Caenorhabditis elegans: one gene and its partners. The protein of the gene in region 2 interacts with the protein of the main gene of each other region in a pairwise test. Each region holds a gene or a part of one and is shown on either strand. Other genes may lie near its edges. The genes, in order: skr-20, fbxa-157, ifas-3 and toca-1.

Region 1 (3,199 bases), on a different chromosome or scaffold from region 2:
AAAGTCTGAAGAATTGAGCATAGTGAAACTTTACTTAACTAACAAAATTGAAAAATAATATTCCACAAAAAAGGGCAAATTAAGGCAGATGAAAAAAAAAACTTTAAAAAAAAGCACACTATTAAATTTTCCAGATTTAGTAATCAGAACGCTGCATTCAATTCCGTCATGAAGTTTATAAACGTTTAGTTCTTTTAAAACCTAGTATTTTGCAATAAACACCAGAAATGTACAAGTTCGGCCAAATTGGATGCAAAATCAGAAAAAATCGGAAATAAAAATCCGGTAATTTGGGGGCTCACCTCATATTCTGAAACAACGAGAACTTGATTTACATATGGTTCTTTGATATTTAATTTTAAGCAATTTTTTAATTAGTAGTGACACTTTAGTTGTTTGTTTTGTTTTCCAACTATTCTTTTACATTCTTATAACTTCAATTTTTCATTTATGAGGTTTGTAAAATAATTTATTCACAAATAAACTTGAATCAAAGTGTATAAATATATTCTTTCAAACATCTTCTTCACAATATGTGAAATTAAACATCAATCAGAATCCGTTGTGAATGTCATTGCAGATGTTCCCTCTCCACCATTTGCCAACGCTTCCTCCATTTGTTCTTCATCTGACCTGATTCCATAGATCTTGCGAATTTCTTCCGTGCTTTTTCCTCGAATCAATTCTGCTGCGGCTGCACACCCCATATTCATCAAATCTTCGACTCCAAGCGCATGAGAAGCATTGAGTAGTGCAAAAAGAACTCCCGATTCCACGTTGAAAAACTGCTTGTCCCATTCGGAAAAATCGTGGTAACGAATTTTGGAGTCTCGTCGGGCGAGCGGGTTGTCCTGATAATGGTAAAGCCACTCTATTACAGCTTGAACAATCGATGAGTGGAATGGAACGAGAATTGGATCTGCTCGTTCACAATTTCTGTCGTTCACTCCATGGTCAATAAACTTCTGATTGATAAATGCACAAAATTTCATTGGTCCTCGTTCGACATTAAAAATTTGACCATCCTCTGACTTCAGTTTGTACAAGGGCGCAGATCGTGGTGTGGTCATGATGTGGAACTAAAGGTAATTGATTAAATAGTTTTGCAATTGTTTCAAAAATATTATTGAGTGGATTCAAACCACACAAAAATAAATATATAAATGAGATATCTTTAAAGTAATTTTTATTATTTATTTGGCGAATCATAGACCTGTGGAAAAGAGCTGGAAGAATACACTATGAATTTATTAAAGATGGAATGAAACGATTAAAAACTGGAATTGTAAAATTTTTTGAAGAAAAGTGAATGGCGTTGTGAGTCAAGTTGATCAAAGGCAAATTTTCTATATTACAAATCTACAGCGAAAGTTTTAAAATATAAATTGAACGAAGAAGCAGAGAAAATAAAATTGAATACAAGACGGTTGAACACGGGAAATTAGCATTAAATGTGGTGGTGGCTGAGAAGTATGGTGGTTGTATTTAAGTTTTTTTGTAGGGAATCGAGAAGAGAATTTTTGATTCAAACTTGAAAAATAAAGTTGCATTGTTTACAAAATTAGTATGGTTTTTGCATTTTTTCTGTAAAATATAAAAGACGAAGAATACTTTTGCTAAAATGTTGCCCAAATTATCACAAAAATTTCAAAAATGGGCTCAACTTTGATCTTATGATTACATTTTTCTCACTTCAAATATTTACTGAAATGAAAACAAATAGTCTAAATTTTCCCATACCATACGAAACACCACACATCTGAAATGAAATTCCTAAGCCGCTGCAGCCACCACTGGATATACTGGCTGCTCCTCCTCTTCATCATTCACCAATCCGTCAATAATCTCTCTAGGATTTTGTCCGACGACACGGCAGCACATGGCGAAGAGACCAGGTACAGTAAAATCCCTCGCGGCTCGGATTATATCAAAGAGCATGTTGTGCCTCACCATCAGAAACGACGCATCCCAGTCAGGAATATCATTGGTTTCCGGTTCAGATTCGTCGTAGGGCGGGTCGTGCTTATGATGGTCGCACCACTCGATCACTTTCCTCATCACTGTCGCAGGGATTTCTAGTTGAATTGGCTGCAGTTGATCGGCAGGAATCAGGTCTAATCCAGCATTTCTAAATAGGTCCTCAATCCGTCCTATCATTCCGATTGTTCGCCTATCTGCCAGAAATCTCTGCCCATCTGTTGACCGAAGTTTGTAGAGTATTACAGGTTCTTCAACTTGCATTACACTGAAATACTTGAAAATGTCTGTAGTAGAAAGAATGAAAAGAAGAAAAAAAATTAGCAAATAATAGTAATAGTCAGGATTCAAACTATTTCCTTAAATTTTCTAGATGAAGTTCTATTTGTATGTAGTTTCTTGCAGAAGAAAAAACTAAATTAAATCGTTTGACAATAAAATTCAATGTGTAATAATTTCTTTCGCACTTTTGCTTTAAAAAACGTAGCTGAAAATAAAGTTTTTTTATCCGATTCTTAGAACTATTACAATGTTAAACACAGAAATTTTTGGATCAATAAAGTGTATGTCAAGAATATGATGGGTGACCACTAGTTGGTACAAAAAAAATGAAAAAAAAGTCACTGATAAGTCACGACAATCATTACTTTCTGTTGAACAGTTCAATTACATAGCACATTAGGAAAAACTGATTTGAAAATAGCGTTTCAAGAATGTATTATTTTACTAAAATGTTTGAAAATCAAGATTTCAAGAAAATCGATAAGTTTATGTGCGCTCCTCAAGCACACCTTCAGCACCAACGTCTTCCCCCGAAGGCTGGCAGACGACGCGTTTCTCTTCCACGGCCATTAGAAATATGGAAAGTCACGTGAACTCACACAACACAACTATCAAAAGGAAGAGTGTCATCAGATAAGAACCTAATATTTCATTACAGGAAAGGTCTGGAAAAATTGATTTTTTTTTGTTTTCTTGTTCGGCTCACACGGTATTAGAACGACTAAATTATTCCTGTGAAAATAGCAAAAAAATTCGAATTCTAACTTCAAATTTGAAAGGGAAAATAAAATAACCAGTTTCCTCCTTTTTATGCTAGAAACTGACATATGAAACCTTTTTTCTTTTCATTCTTTCGAGAATGAATCAATCTTCCAACACACTACCTATTCCTGCAAGACAAGACCGCGACGCAGCCGCAACGCGCACTTATAAAGCTACC
Region 2 (4,724 bases):
GTGCCTGACGCCTGCCTTCAACCTGCCCGACTCACGCCACGTCCACGCCTTATTCCTATTTCTTATTTTTGATTGATTTTTCATGTTTTTTGAGTAATTTTACTGGAAATTTAATGAAAAATTCAAGATAAATGCAAATTTTCTATTAAAAAGCGGGCGCTAAAATCTAAATCTTTGAAATAGATTATTTCAGGCTCAACGTCGTTGAAAAACGTGCTATCTCTGTTTTCAATTATTTTTAGTGAACAATCTACATTTATCTTAAATTTTTCATGTAATTTCCAGTAAAATTACTCAAAAAAAACATGAAAAATCAATCAAAAATAAGAAAAATGAATAAATAGAAGTTAAAATAATGCAAGCACGCTCCTTCGAACATCGACTATTGGCGGTAGTTGAAATGGGAATTTGATGAAATTCGAGATTTTTTCAATTTTCAAAAAATCATATAAAATTTAGAATAGTTTTTTGAATTTTTTTTACTATGATATTTGGTCATTGTAGTACCATAGGTATTTTTTATAGCAATTTCTCCACTGGCGCTACTCCACCTTTAACAAAGAAAGGGATTTGTAGAGAATAAAAACTTTATTATCCGAATATTTACGAATTCAATGTTGCGAGGCAATTCTCTTCTTGATACTGAAACCATCAGGATGAAAAGCAATGTCGAATGTTTCATTTCTAGATTTATAAACAATTGATCCAGTTGAACCACTTGGAGGTGAGCGTGGCTTAAAAACTCTAACGAGCAGTGTCGCATCAAATTTCACTCTTTCACAAGTAAAATATTCAAACTTGGTGGATTTTAGAAGAATCTCCTGAAAGTTTATACTATAAAATTTAAGGTAGTGTAGTCGAATTTTTTTATTGCTTTATTAGACTTAAAATTGTCTGCAAACACCGAATTTATTAATGAAATTTCTTGAAAACTTCTCTAAAAAAAGTTATGGCGGCTCAAAAAATGACCCCTAAAATTAGTTAAAATTTGAATTTTGACAGACTTGTCAATGTCGCAGCGGCTGGATTATTTTAAATATTTTTAATTTTTTTACAAAATCTCGCCGTCCATCGACTTTAAAGTACCTAAAAGAAGTTAAAAACGCAAGATAATTATACCCAAAATGTGACGGTGATTTCAAAAAAAAAAATTCTCCAGCCACTGCGACATTGAGAAGTCGGTTAAATTTCACATTTTGACTAATTTCAGGCCATTTTTTGAGCCTCCATAACTTTTTTTAGAATTTTCAAGAAGTTTCATTATGAAATTCGGTGTTTTCATACTATGTTGAGCCTAATAAAGCAATAAAAAATTCGACTACACCTCTCGCACCACGTTGCGCAAATTAACGTTGAACAACTACGGTGTGCAGACATATATCCACACTACGCAAACACCGGAGTTCACGCCAATATGCACAGAGCGGCGACGGCAAAAGCCGGCCGGCGCGACGCGCCGACGTGAGGCGCCGACGCCGCGCCGCTCTCAAACGGAAGCCCTACATTAATGTATCGTAGGAAACTCACATCTCGAAGCTTGATCATATCACCTCTTGGGAAAGCTTCCTCAGAAAAGTCAAAGTTCAGTGATTGGAAGTGAGCAAGATGCTTGACGATAAGTGAATAATGTGGAACAGGAGACAATGTCAGAGTCTTTGCTTGTTTCCATTGTTCAAGGCGCACCAGACGTTTTATGGAATTTTCATCGGATTCGCTACTTTTAATTGTCAAGTCCTCTAAAATTTCAGTATTGAAGTGTTCTAGAATTTCAGCAATTTGAACAGAAGGAAGCCAATTGATCAATACTGATTTTGTCGTCAAGACTCCAACTGATTGAAGTACATTTTTAAGAGCATCAAATAAAATGAGCCCTTCGTCCTTAACTCCATTAACGTAGAAATAATCCAGATTTAATCCTCTGCACTTCAAAAGTCTTGATGCATCATTCATAGCAACCTCCAATGGCCGTTTGTTCTTAACAAGAAGCTCCCGTTCTTCATAAGTCACAAGGCAGTCATCATCGTCCAATTCATAGGTCACAAGGTTATCGTTCATATACAAAGAAACGTTATTTTCTTCTTGAAAAATATGAAATTTCTTCAAGTTAGAACGTTGATAATCGATTATAGATTTAAAACTACAACAAACCGCACCTGCAGTAAACCTGAAAACAATTTGTATTTACAAAACAAAACTATGCAATCAATTTATACCGATCAATTGGGTTCAGTTTATCCAGAATCATTGTTTGAAGGTAGTTCGTAACAGATTTCCATTCTTTCCTCTCTGATGAATAAAATCTGTAATAGTTACTCTCATACTTCATTGATTGAAAAAACACGAACCTATCATATGAGTCCAAGTTCAGACTTCCATTTGAAAGTCCCATATACCAATATTCAAAATGGAGGTATTCCATGAACTGCTCACCAAATGCCTTGCACATTGCTTCGTATGCATCGAGAACTGGAATTTCTTGAAGAAGTTGGAATAGGATACAGATTCGCAGTGCTCGTGAGTCCGTGACGATGCATTTAACTTTACGATCGATTCTGAAATTGAAGTTATACTTTTCATTGGAGAATACAAAGTTCGTCTTTTTTCCATCTCAGATTTTGATTGAAATTAAAGTTGGATAAAATGAAAAACTTACTGATCCATTGAGACTGAACCGCTCGAATTTTCCCTGAAAATTTCTTCATCATGGCCGATGTTAAAAATTACCAGGAACGTTTTGACAACAAAAAATAAATTCGTGATTTCATGGGCGGTGAAGAGTTTTTTCACGAAAAATTAGACTTTCTCAAGTTTTCATAAAAGGTTTTTTTTTTTCGAAATCGAGAGAATCAATAAACTAGCTAAAAATTGACAACAGTGAGAAGAGAAGAGAAAATTTCAAAAATTGAGGTAATTTTTTAGGAAAAAATATTGAGGAAAATTGGGCAATGATTTAATGCTCTGAGCAATTGGAAAAAGTTGGTGAAAGTTGGTGGAGAAGTGAGCAAAGTTATTTGGAAAGTGGACGAAATCTAATGGCAGTTAGAAAATGGTTACAGTTGGTTGAAAAGAGGCCACGGGTTTACGAGCGTAGTTTTCCTCCGATTGTTATCAGTATTCCTCATAAAAATGTGTGAAAGGAAGTGAATAGAGCATTTTATGGTTTGAGATGGGCTCATGTGACTCATGGTTTACTACTATTTCTAGTGAAAAAATAGAGTGAAAAAATAACAATTTCTTTATTTTTTGGCCACTCGTTCACTAGAAAATAGAAAATAACGAAATAATCTCATTAAAACCTGTAAAATTGAAACTTTCACCCACAGCGCAAGATGTACAGAAACGCGAAGTTTAGCAAGCGCGCTCTAATAAATATTTGGATTAGAGGAGAGCGTGTCACTCTGTAATATAATAATCTTTTTTAAAAGAAAGAAGGCAAATTCACAATGTTCGATATATTTATTCCCAAAATAACAACATGATTTATTGAATTACTTAGGATGTGAATCCTCCTCCAGGAATAGTTTGTCGATCTGATCCAGCAATGAATCCACCAAATCCTGCTTTTTATCAGATGATGAAAACACCTGGTCCGATGTGCTTTCGAATCTATCCTTAACTTCGTTAAGCAATTCCGTCAAGTAACGAGTTTGATCGTCGATACTCACAACTCTCCCAGTGTTCTGGCAAAACCCAAAGTTAGCAACACAGGCGATAAGTACAAGAAGGTAGAAGATGAAATTCGCGTTGAATGATGTGTCCATTCTTACAGGGCTCTTTTTATATGGAACACTGACAAAAGAGGTATCCAATAAAAACATTTTATTCTGGATTTTCAGACATTCCTTTTGTAATAGTTGTTTTCAGTATACAACAATACTTCACAAATATCAGATATTAAATTTATCCAACAATTGTAATATACATATACAATAAAAAGCATGAATGAATTGTTGAAAACATTCTGAGTGAGTGAAATTGAAGATATGCAAGCTAATATGTAACTTATCTGACATGACCATGTGAAGTAGGCTATTAAAGGTAAAACATCAATGTTCAGAGGTATCGTTACAAGTATTTTTCAATTCAATTGTTGGATAAATTTAATATCTGATATTTATGAAGTATTGATGTATTCTGAAAACAGATAATACAAAAGGTATATCTGAAAATGCAGAATAAAATGTCTTTATTGGATACCTCTTTTGTCAGTGTTCCATATAAAAAGAGCCCTGTAAGAATGGAATAGTCACAATTCATTCAACACGAATTTCATCTTCTACCTTCTTGCCCTCATCGCTTGTGTTGCTAACTTGGGATGCTCATTGGAGGTTCCAGTTCCAGAAGTTCCAGATGTTGGAGCCGTTGAAAGTTTCTGTATTCTTAGTGGTTACAAAAATACAGTGACGGTTCCAGACTGAGCAAGTGCAAGTGGATGCTGTGTTGCAAGTGGTGACTGGGCTTTTGGCAACTGTTCTTCAACTTGTGACATCATTGACTTCCTCAGTTGGATCAGTTCCTGGAACCTGACAAAAGAGATATCCAATAAAAACATGTATTACAAACATATTTTTGTAACTAACTGGTGGATAAATTCGAAAATTGTTATTTTGATGTTTTTGAAGTATTGTTGTATTCTGAAAACAGATAATACAAAAGGTATCATATATCTGAAAATGCAGAATAACATGTTTTTATTGGATACCTCTTTTGTCAGTGTTCCATAT
Region 3 (3,777 bases), on a different chromosome or scaffold from region 2:
GAAAAAATCTGGAAAAAATTGAAAAAAAAAATGGAAATTACACATACTTTTTTAAAAATTGTGTGTTTTTGGCATTCAGTTGTAGTTAACTACTTAACTAAATGTTGCTAGTTTTTATATCGAAAATGTGAAACAGAAATTATTTGTGAAAAAAAATAAAATTTTACTGTTTCACGCTTTATTTATAACTTATATACATTTTTATAATTTAATATCTTATAATTACTCACAATAAGTGTCACCTGGGACCATCTTCGTCATAGTCGCCCTATGGGTATATCTGACGTATCCATGAGATCCCTGGTCTTTCCATGACGTAGTGGTGGCCTTGGCGGTCCATCGAAGAGCATCCTTAGATAATCCGTACATCACATATGGCGTCACATTTGGTACTGAAAATTCCAGAATATTTGTGGAATTCATTGTGGAATTGAAATGTAGAAAACGGGAAAGTTTTTGAGAACTAGATGAAGCAGTGTAAAAATTTTAATTATAATATTCTGTTTATTTAAGGAAATTTTTTTTTAATAACACGCCTATAATGGCATTTTACATTGAAAAAAAAAAACTGAAACAGTAAAAAATTTGAAAATTGTTTTAAAAAAGTTGGTTTTCTTCAAATGTGGCAAAATAATACAACAAATAATATGTGAATTATTCAGAGGAAAAAACGTCATTAACAAATTTTGAAAAACATACACACTTAAAATAGAGTTTTCGAAACAGTAAAAAAATTTTCATAATTTAGAAAAAAAATTTGTAGAAAATTTCACTGGATGCTTAGAAACCCATTATTGAAAAATCAATATGAAAAAACAAAAAAAAACCCACGAGGTCCCTGCGTTAGCCACGTCACAACCATTTCATCCATTTTCCCGCTCAAACTGAGATGAACCTGCTCCACCCGATTCGCTGTCACATTTTCAGAGAAAATCAATAAAACCAACGAAACTAGCAGTTTTCTCATCGTTTTTCTGGGAAAATGATGAGTTTTCCATCTGAAATTCTTTGGTTTTATAGTTTTTAATCTGTTCCGATTCGCGTCGTTTCCGATGTCATTCTTCTTGAGTTATGACTGATTAGCAATAAAAAAATGATAAGAACTGTAGATTTGATGATAATTCGTTTGATTGATGGGGAAAAATGGGGAAAGTTAATTTTTTGCAAAAAAAAATGCAAATCAAATAATAAGATTTGCATCACTAGAAACATTAAAAAATAAAGGTGAAACAGAAGATTTTGTCTTAAAAATTTCAAATTTCTTGCAATTTTTTTGTAAAAAAACTCAAATTTTTCACATAATCATTTGTAGGAATTTACACTCAAAAAAAAAACTGCGTGGGCGTGTACTGCAGAAAACGTAATATTTAGGCCCCGCCTTTTTCTCGTCCACTAACGGAGAAAATGCAAAAATTTTGACCCCAACCAATATTAGGCCGCCGACATATCACGGGTTCCGCGCGCCGCTATGTTTGACTCGCAGCAGGCGGAGACAGCTCGCCACGCCCACAGCGAGCTAAACGCAGCGACGCGCGGAACCCGTGAGATGTCGGCGACCTGAAATTGGTTGGGGTCAAAATTTTTGCCTTTTCTCCGTGAGTGGACGAGAAAAAGGCGGGACCTAAATATTAGGTTTTCTGCAGTACACGCCCACGCAGTTTTTTTTTATTTTGAGTGTAGTCTGATCTATTTGCGTTTGACCAAAAAAACATTTCTAAGTGGAAAAAGCTGAACAGTAAACAGCCACTTAAGTTTGTACTTACTAACATAAGATGAAACAGTCATATTATTTTCCATTGTTTACCTTTTCTTGCTCATTATTTCTTTTAAACAAGCACAGAGTTTTTGCACAATATAATTTCTCTGCTTCTAATTTCTCTAATTTTTTAACTGTAACTATTAACTGCTTAGAAGACAACCATGAAAAAAAAAAAATTTTTCTGTAACAGGAATTTTTTTGAGAAAAAAAAATCATTTTCCAGATTTGACTGGAAATAAAACTGTTAACGTTCCCCATGTTTTTCAGATTGAATATTTTCATTTGGGAATGCAAGAAGAAAGTTATTACAATTTAACAGTTGGCGATACACATGATCGACTGGTAGGCTCTTTTTTTAAATAATTAAATTGTTATAAAAAATATTTTCAGCACAACTTTCAAATAACCGTCGACACTGACTATCGGAACTTTGTTCAACTAGTCAACACGATGAGATCACCTAACATTGCACAACAAGACCGGGCTTTTCTACAATTACAACAGCTAGGATTACAGCACCCGGACTACATTCGAAAAGCCCGAGTCCCAGAAACCATGCGGCAGTTCGCAGAAGGTGCCGCCGGAAAACGGAGGATACGTTCGTGTCATGGAACATATCTTCATTGGTATGACGAAGGATTGAAGGTTTCAAAAAAGTAAAAAAAAACTGTGCTGATAGAGAATAATTCTAGGTTGACATGAAGTCGGGCGAAGCGGGGACATGTGAAAATTGGATTATTGAGGACTGGAACGAGAAAGTGGTTTTCAGGGCAGTTGATCCACGGGGCAAATATCTAAGGTACGTGTAGGCTCTGTAAAGACATGTGGTGTCAGAGTGTCCCATTTCGGTTAAATATATGAAACTTGCGAGAAATTTAAAACTGTTGCGTGTACACTTATATAGGCCCACGGAGAAAAGGCAAAAATTGGCGCCCCAATCAATATCAGGCCGCCGACATTTGACGGGTTCCGCGCGCCACTACGTTCAGCGGGCTTGGCGAGCTGTCCCGCCCTCTGCGAGGAAAATATAGTGGAGCGCGGAACTCGTAAGATGTCGGCGGCCTGATATTGGTTGTGGTGCCAATTTTTGCCTTGCGACTATACAGTACTACAGAAGCGACTATACAGTACTACAGTACAGTACTTAAACTTCCAACGTATAGAATTTGAAAATTGAAAAGAAAAAACTTTCTAGCATCTAGAAGTGAGCCTAAAAAACATTGCAGAGCTTGCCTGGGGAGCAACCAGCTGACTCTAGTATACATTCCTGAGCCAACGGAACTGTGGAGCCCATTCGAAAATGGCAACGGGACCTGGTCGTTTCTCAGTTCTAACGGAACATGGCTCAGTGCTCACGAAGATGGGCAAGTGTGCACTGTGAAGGACCGTCAAGCGTGTGAAGAATTTTTGTTAGAGTCGTGGTAACTTATTTTTTGTTAATAAAATAAATATTTGATTTTGATACTATTGCACTGCAAGGAACGACTCGAAACCGGGCAGATGTCTGGCCATGTATTAGTGTACAGATGATTCTAGACACTTTTGCAAAAAGTTCAGAAATCGAAATCACAAACTGATAAAATCATAATTAGGTGCAAGCATGTGTGGGTGTATCATTTGCTGATTTTGCCAGAAGAGTGACCATTGATAATAACCTTGAATTTGTGTTATAGGCGAAACAGTGAAAGTTTAAAACTGTCCAAAAATTTATTGAATTACTGTTTCAGATAGTCTACTTTTAAAAACTTGTTTTTTATTATTTAATTATGATCTGACAACTCGTTTTCCAATTTCTAAAAAGTTTTTGTAGGAGTTAATTGAGGTTTAAATTTTAAAATGTTTAATTTATGAAACTGTTGGGAACTGGAAAATTGAAAAAAAAAACTATGTAATTCGTTGCGTTCATCCTTACAATATCTTTGACCAATTGTAGTTATGAAATTATGTTAATTTATGTAAACATTATGAAACATTATCGGTTAGTGGAGGTTGGTCAGCTTACCGTACCAGGCATTCGG
Region 4 (5,103 bases), on a different chromosome or scaffold from region 2:
ACATACAAAACCAGCACACTTTCAAAAAGTTTGAGCAACTTAAATTAAGAGCTCATATAGTCTAATTTCCATGTAAATCAGACTTAAAGTGCCCCAAGCAAAAACTCAAACTTTGCAGAAAAAAGGTGCGGTGAGTGTCCAAGGCGCGGCGTCCTAGAAACTATCGCCAGGACGGAAGGGCGCAATCCGAATGCAATGTGATCTACATATACAATGAATTGTCGACCCCAACACCGATTGACGACGCGACTAGAAGAAGAAGAAGAAGTTAGAAGGGGGAGGAGGAAGGGAAAATGAGGGGAGATGAAGAAAAATGGTTGTAGAATTGAAATGGATTGACAGTAAGGCTGAAGAAGTAGGGGGGAATGGGGAACGGAAGCAGAATGACATTTTCGTTTTGAAATGTTCTCGGTAACTTTTCGACTATTACAGAAATTTTTCTCAGAAAACTTGAACATGGTGCATCAGGTAAAAAAATCGATATTTTTTGAAGGAGCAGCAATAATTTTGTCTAGAAAAATAAATCCGAACATGGTGCATCGACTGGAAAAGTCCGATAAGTTTGGCGGTAAAACCTGAAAAATATGTGAGAGCCAAAGAAATTTTTTGAACATGGTGCATCGGACAAAATTTGTCATAGGAAATGACGTTCTTTTTGGCATTTTATCATATTTTTTCAAACAGAGAAAAAATTTCACTTTACTAGCACAAATTTTGAATGAATAATATACTGATAACCCTTAATATGTATGTAAAAGTGACAAGTTTCAACCGTAAACTTAAAAATTGCTAGTGTAGTTTTCAGTCGATGCACCATGTTATAAAATTACATCCAAGGTTACAGGGACCCCACAAAAAATTTTCTTTTTAAAAAACCTTCTAATCTTATTGATAATTCCCTGCTAAACACAAATACAATCACAGAAAGTACGATTTTGGTGCCGAAAAAGGGAGAAAAAGAGAGTGAAGCTGTGTTTATTTGCGCTTTCCGCCCTTCCCCAACTACCGCTTTTGCCTATTAAATTGGCGAGAAGTGAACGATAAGGAAAGAGCGGAGAACCGACGATCAGAAAGTTTGTGCAATTTTATTAATAAAACTGTTCGGAACCATTATTATATTAAAACCAGGGCTCCCATGTAGGCGCCGCGATCCGACATTTTTTGGGTTTCGCGCATTGCTATTAAGATTTCGGATCCCGGCGTGAGGGCGGCGTTTGCGGCACCCACATGGGAGCCCTAATTGAAAATTTAAAGAGTAAATCGATAGAAAATCCAATTTTCAGAATTCATTTCTCAAGTTACATGCTCTCAAATTTTGAGCACTAGAAATTGAAGACAGTCTGCACTCTCCCCTCGTCCCACACTCTCTCGGCTTTAAGTTCTATAAGCTTGTATCTCTGCGGTAGATTACTGTTATAAACGACAAAAAACTGGCTGAAGTATTGGGAAAATTTGAAAGAAAAAAAATTTTGCTGTTTTTCTGAATCAAATTCAAGCACAAACTGATATGTTCAAAAAGATGTGTCATACTGGCATTTCTGAAATGTTCACAATTTTTCTGTAAACTGATAAGAAACTTTGGCGAAAAAAAAATCGGATTTTGTAGTTTTTAAGAGAAGTTTTTGAGAGAGAGTAGAAAATTAATTTTTTTGAAATCAATTTTTAAAAATACAACGTCTTAAAAAAGTAGGCATAATCAGTGTGAACGGACCAATTTAATAAAAAAAAATGTTTTTAAAATATATTATAGAAATTTCCACTCCATTTTTGAATTTTAAAATTAGAGCGCATTTACCAAAACATACTAACGTGCGCCCAGCAAACCCACTAGGTAACCCTGTTTTTTAATTCTGCGTCTCTCTCTCTCTCTCTCTCTCTCTCTTTCACTCTCTCTATACACCTCCCGCCACTCCTTATTAGTATCCACCTCTACATTAGCAACAAATGACTAATTCAAGTGTGTTCGGAGGGTGGGTGAGCCGCTTCCGCCGTTACTTTGTGATCGCCCGCCACCCCCCGATCTTGCTTACAACTACTAAATTATGTATGCGGGAGACGAGAAGGTATATGTGATATGCGAAAATGTATGTAGGAACGAGTAGAAATGTTTGGTGGGGGGGAGGGGGGGGATCATTAGATTTTATTAAAAATTTGAGAAAAATCCAAGGATTTTCCACATCGAAACTATAAAATTGCACTAGAAGTTGGCAAACGCCAAATTTCAAATTCATCCGAACTTTAGAAATTTCGGAATTTTACCGAATTTCAAAAAGTATCGGGACCGCCCATCTGTGATCATGCCAGTATCAGTACCCCAATATCGATACAAATGATATTATGGTCCGACATCTAACGGGTTTCGCGCCCCACCCAGGCAATTGCAAATAAAATATAGTGCGGCGCAAAACCCTGCGGACGTCTTGCCATGATATCAATTGAAATCCCTATTTTTGCATATTCCCAGAAAATAATCCTTAAAGTGGTTGGGCCCGGAATTTCGTCAAATTTTGGAGTTTTGAAACTGCGGCGGTCTCGAAAAATTCTAGGTTCTGGAAATTCGTGGCGTGGGTGCTTTAGAGCTGTAACAGAATTTGGAAAAATTTTATATTTCCAATTTTTTCCAAATTAGGCATAATCCTGGTATCTTGGAACTTTGACATATTTTTTAAAAGTTCAGCAATTTGAAGCAGCGCCCAATTTTGAAAATCTGAAGTTTCGTGCCATTTTTCTCATTTTGGTGGAAACCTTCTAACCTTTTCACAGTGTGAAGTGCATAACATTACAATTTTAGGCACATATGTACATACTTTTAATCAGTAGATTTTTTGAAATGTTGAACTAGGAAAAAAGGAGGATTCACGGTTTAGAATCGTAAAAAATTCAGCTCAACATTTGGTGATTTTGGCCATTTTTTTAGACCCGCGGTTTTTTCATTTTAGTAGCCTGTTTTCTTATTTTAAATTTTAGTTTTTACCAAGGATTCAATAAAAACTTACCCATAGCTGGTCCCAACTGCAACTGTCGTTCATTGTTCGCCGCTTCTTCAAAAGGTTGTTACCATCCAATCCAATCTCGATTCCTTCTTTTTATGAACACTAATTGGAACTTTTTCGAGTTGAAGTCTGAAAAAAAACTCAAAACGTTAACAGCAATGAGCAGCACAAAAAAGATCCGAACAAACGAGAAGGAGAAAAAAATTGAAAACTTTAGTTCGTAAATAGGAACAAAAACAGTAATCTAAGCTGTTGACGGTTGGGCGTGTCGTGGAGCAAAAATGGAGAGCAATTTGTGGTTGGTGCTCATGGCACCGGGAGGCGGAAGGAAGCATAGGTATAATTGTGGGGGCTCAGGAGGGGGGGGTAAATTTTTTGTGGAAGAGCAGAGTATTTGGAGTGCTATGGGAGGTTGAAAAAAGGTGGAGAAAATTATTGCAAAATTGAGAAATTAATAGAAAAAATCAAGCTTAATCAAAAAAAAAACATTTCGCTAAAACGTGCTAGATTATTCGAAAAATCGGAAAAAGTTTAATAGCCGAAAATGGCCTAAAACCTCCAATTTTCAAACTTTTCCATATGGTATAGTTCACGGTTACCAGGTACCAGAAATTTTCAGCTACCGAATTTACAAAAATAGCATCAGCAAATAGTGAAAAAATTAAGAAAATCAGCAAACAATTTTTCACTTATTTCCGTTGAAACAGGCTAGACCCCAAAGAAACATTCCAATCCCAAATTTATCCGAGAACAGCAACACAGAAAAAAACAAGATAGGCGGTCACGAGAAGTGGGGTCCGCGGTCAGCTCGAGCACCCAGCTCGAGCTGCAGCAGCTCGGACCTCGAAAAGTAGCTCCCAAGAGAAGAAGAAAAAGAAGAGACGCTATTTCTCGCCCAATAGCATATGTATACACATGTGTGCGTCTGCGTATCTTGCTATCTAGGATAGACCTCGGGGTCCCGGGGTTTTCGGAGATATTGATGAGCGAAAAATGAAGAGTTTACAACAATACGCACGGCGCGAGATACCTAGTCTAATCAATTTTTTTCGAATTACGTTGAGGGAAATCTCGTAATTTTGAGTCTGAAGCTAAGCCTGAAATTAGGCCCGAGCTTGCCTAAAAGCTAAAGGGTAACCTAAAAGCTTAGTCTGTACCGAGGGACTCAGTTTTTGAAGAAGGGCATTAAGCTAAGAGCGCAGCCTAAAGGCTTAGACTTCAGGTGCCCAGCCATTACTTTGGGCTTCTTTGGGGCTTGGCGTTCGTGGGCTCAGAATTATCCTTCAACTACGGGGCTTAACCTTCTTGGTCTCAAACTTTGAAGGATGATAAGCCTGACCTCAAGGATTTTAAAATAAGCCTAACCTCAAGGAGCGGAAAAAATGGAGATGCGGCTTTCAAGGGCTCAACCGCCTAAATGCCTAAATAAAGAAAGTAAAAGTTAGCCTAAATGGCTTAGTTTTTGAAGGCTCAACTTTCTGGGTCTCCACTTTTTGGCCCTGACATATATTTTAGCCTTAACTTCACCATCTGCCTTGGCCCGAAAAAAAAAAAAAAAAACCTAAAGCTGACTAAAATATATATATATATACTGGTTTCAAAGGACTTCCAAAAAAGCCCTACAATCACTCTCAGAAAAAACTACCCAAAAAATGCTATGCTTGTCGTACCCGACGTTTCTCAAGGTAATATGCAAAACAGGCCTCCTTTTGTCCCCCCTCCTGCCTCGCCAATCTTTCCATGGCCAAACGCAAAAGTTCAAGTGACCCGCCAAATCGACGACAACACATAGGTAGTCGTGTCTCGGAAGGTTGAGTAGAAAAAAAAGAAGAATGGGGAAAAGGAGGCGAAGAAAATGTATTCGGAAGTTAGTAATGAAAGGTAGTACACCTAAGACAAGGTGACATTGGGACTGAGAATCGGTGACAAGGGGGTAAAATTCGAAAAATTCGGAGTTGTTCTAGTCTAACTAGAAAGTTGGAAAGTTGCAGCTTTGGTCAATGCAAACAAAATGTTGGTCAGTGCAAATCGAAATTCAAAAATTTCGAAAAAGATCTCCTAATCCTTCCCGCATGTCAATGACATTTGGGCTCTCAGGAGCAGGTGTTCC

Evidence for each region.
Region 1: the proteins of fbxa-157 (region 2) and skr-20 interact in a two-hybrid assay, tested with the Caenorhabditis elegans proteins (one large-scale study listed by BioGRID).
Region 3: the proteins of fbxa-157 (region 2) and ifas-3 interact in a two-hybrid assay, tested with the Caenorhabditis elegans proteins (one large-scale study listed by BioGRID).
Region 4: the proteins of fbxa-157 (region 2) and toca-1 interact in a two-hybrid assay, tested with the Caenorhabditis elegans proteins (one large-scale study listed by BioGRID).

Annotation. Positions count from the first base shown.
Region 1 is NC_003284.9:13,222,468-13,225,666, forward strand, and holds skr-20 (Skp1-related protein), read right to left. Parts: upstream 1,071-3,199; coding exon 549-1,070; downstream 1-548. Other genes in the region: skr-19 (Skp1-related protein), read right to left, coding at 1,774-2,241.
Region 2 is NC_003283.11:17,897,765-17,902,488, reverse strand, and holds fbxa-157 (F-box domain-containing protein), read right to left. Parts: upstream 2,687-4,724; 5' UTR 2,662-2,686; coding exon 2,654-2,661; intron 2,553-2,653; coding exon 2,346-2,552; intron 2,301-2,345; coding exon 2,214-2,300; intron 2,165-2,213; coding exon 1,528-2,164; intron 822-1,527; coding exon 612-821; 3' UTR 583-611; downstream 1-582.
Region 3 is NC_003282.8:15,949,132-15,952,908, reverse strand, and holds ifas-3 (Ig-like domain-containing protein), read left to right. Parts: upstream 1-2,020; 5' UTR 2,021-2,047; coding exon 2,048-2,101; intron 2,102-2,149; coding exon 2,150-2,404; intron 2,405-2,451; coding exon 2,452-2,558; intron 2,559-2,985; coding exon 2,986-3,184; 3' UTR 3,185-3,217; downstream 3,218-3,777. Other genes in the region: Y105C5B.15 (Purple acid phosphatase), read right to left, coding at 231-392, 832-967.
Region 4 is NC_003284.9:1,518,366-1,523,468, forward strand, and holds the start of toca-1 (Transducer of Cdc42-dependent actin assembly protein 1 homolog), read right to left. Parts: upstream 3,123-5,103; 5' UTR 3,030-3,122; coding exon 2,997-3,029; intron 1-2,996. UniProt on the Caenorhabditis elegans protein: Plays a role in protein trafficking, actin organization and embryonic morphogenesis. Potentially acts as a cdc-42 effector. May play a role in hypodermal P-cell nuclear positioning.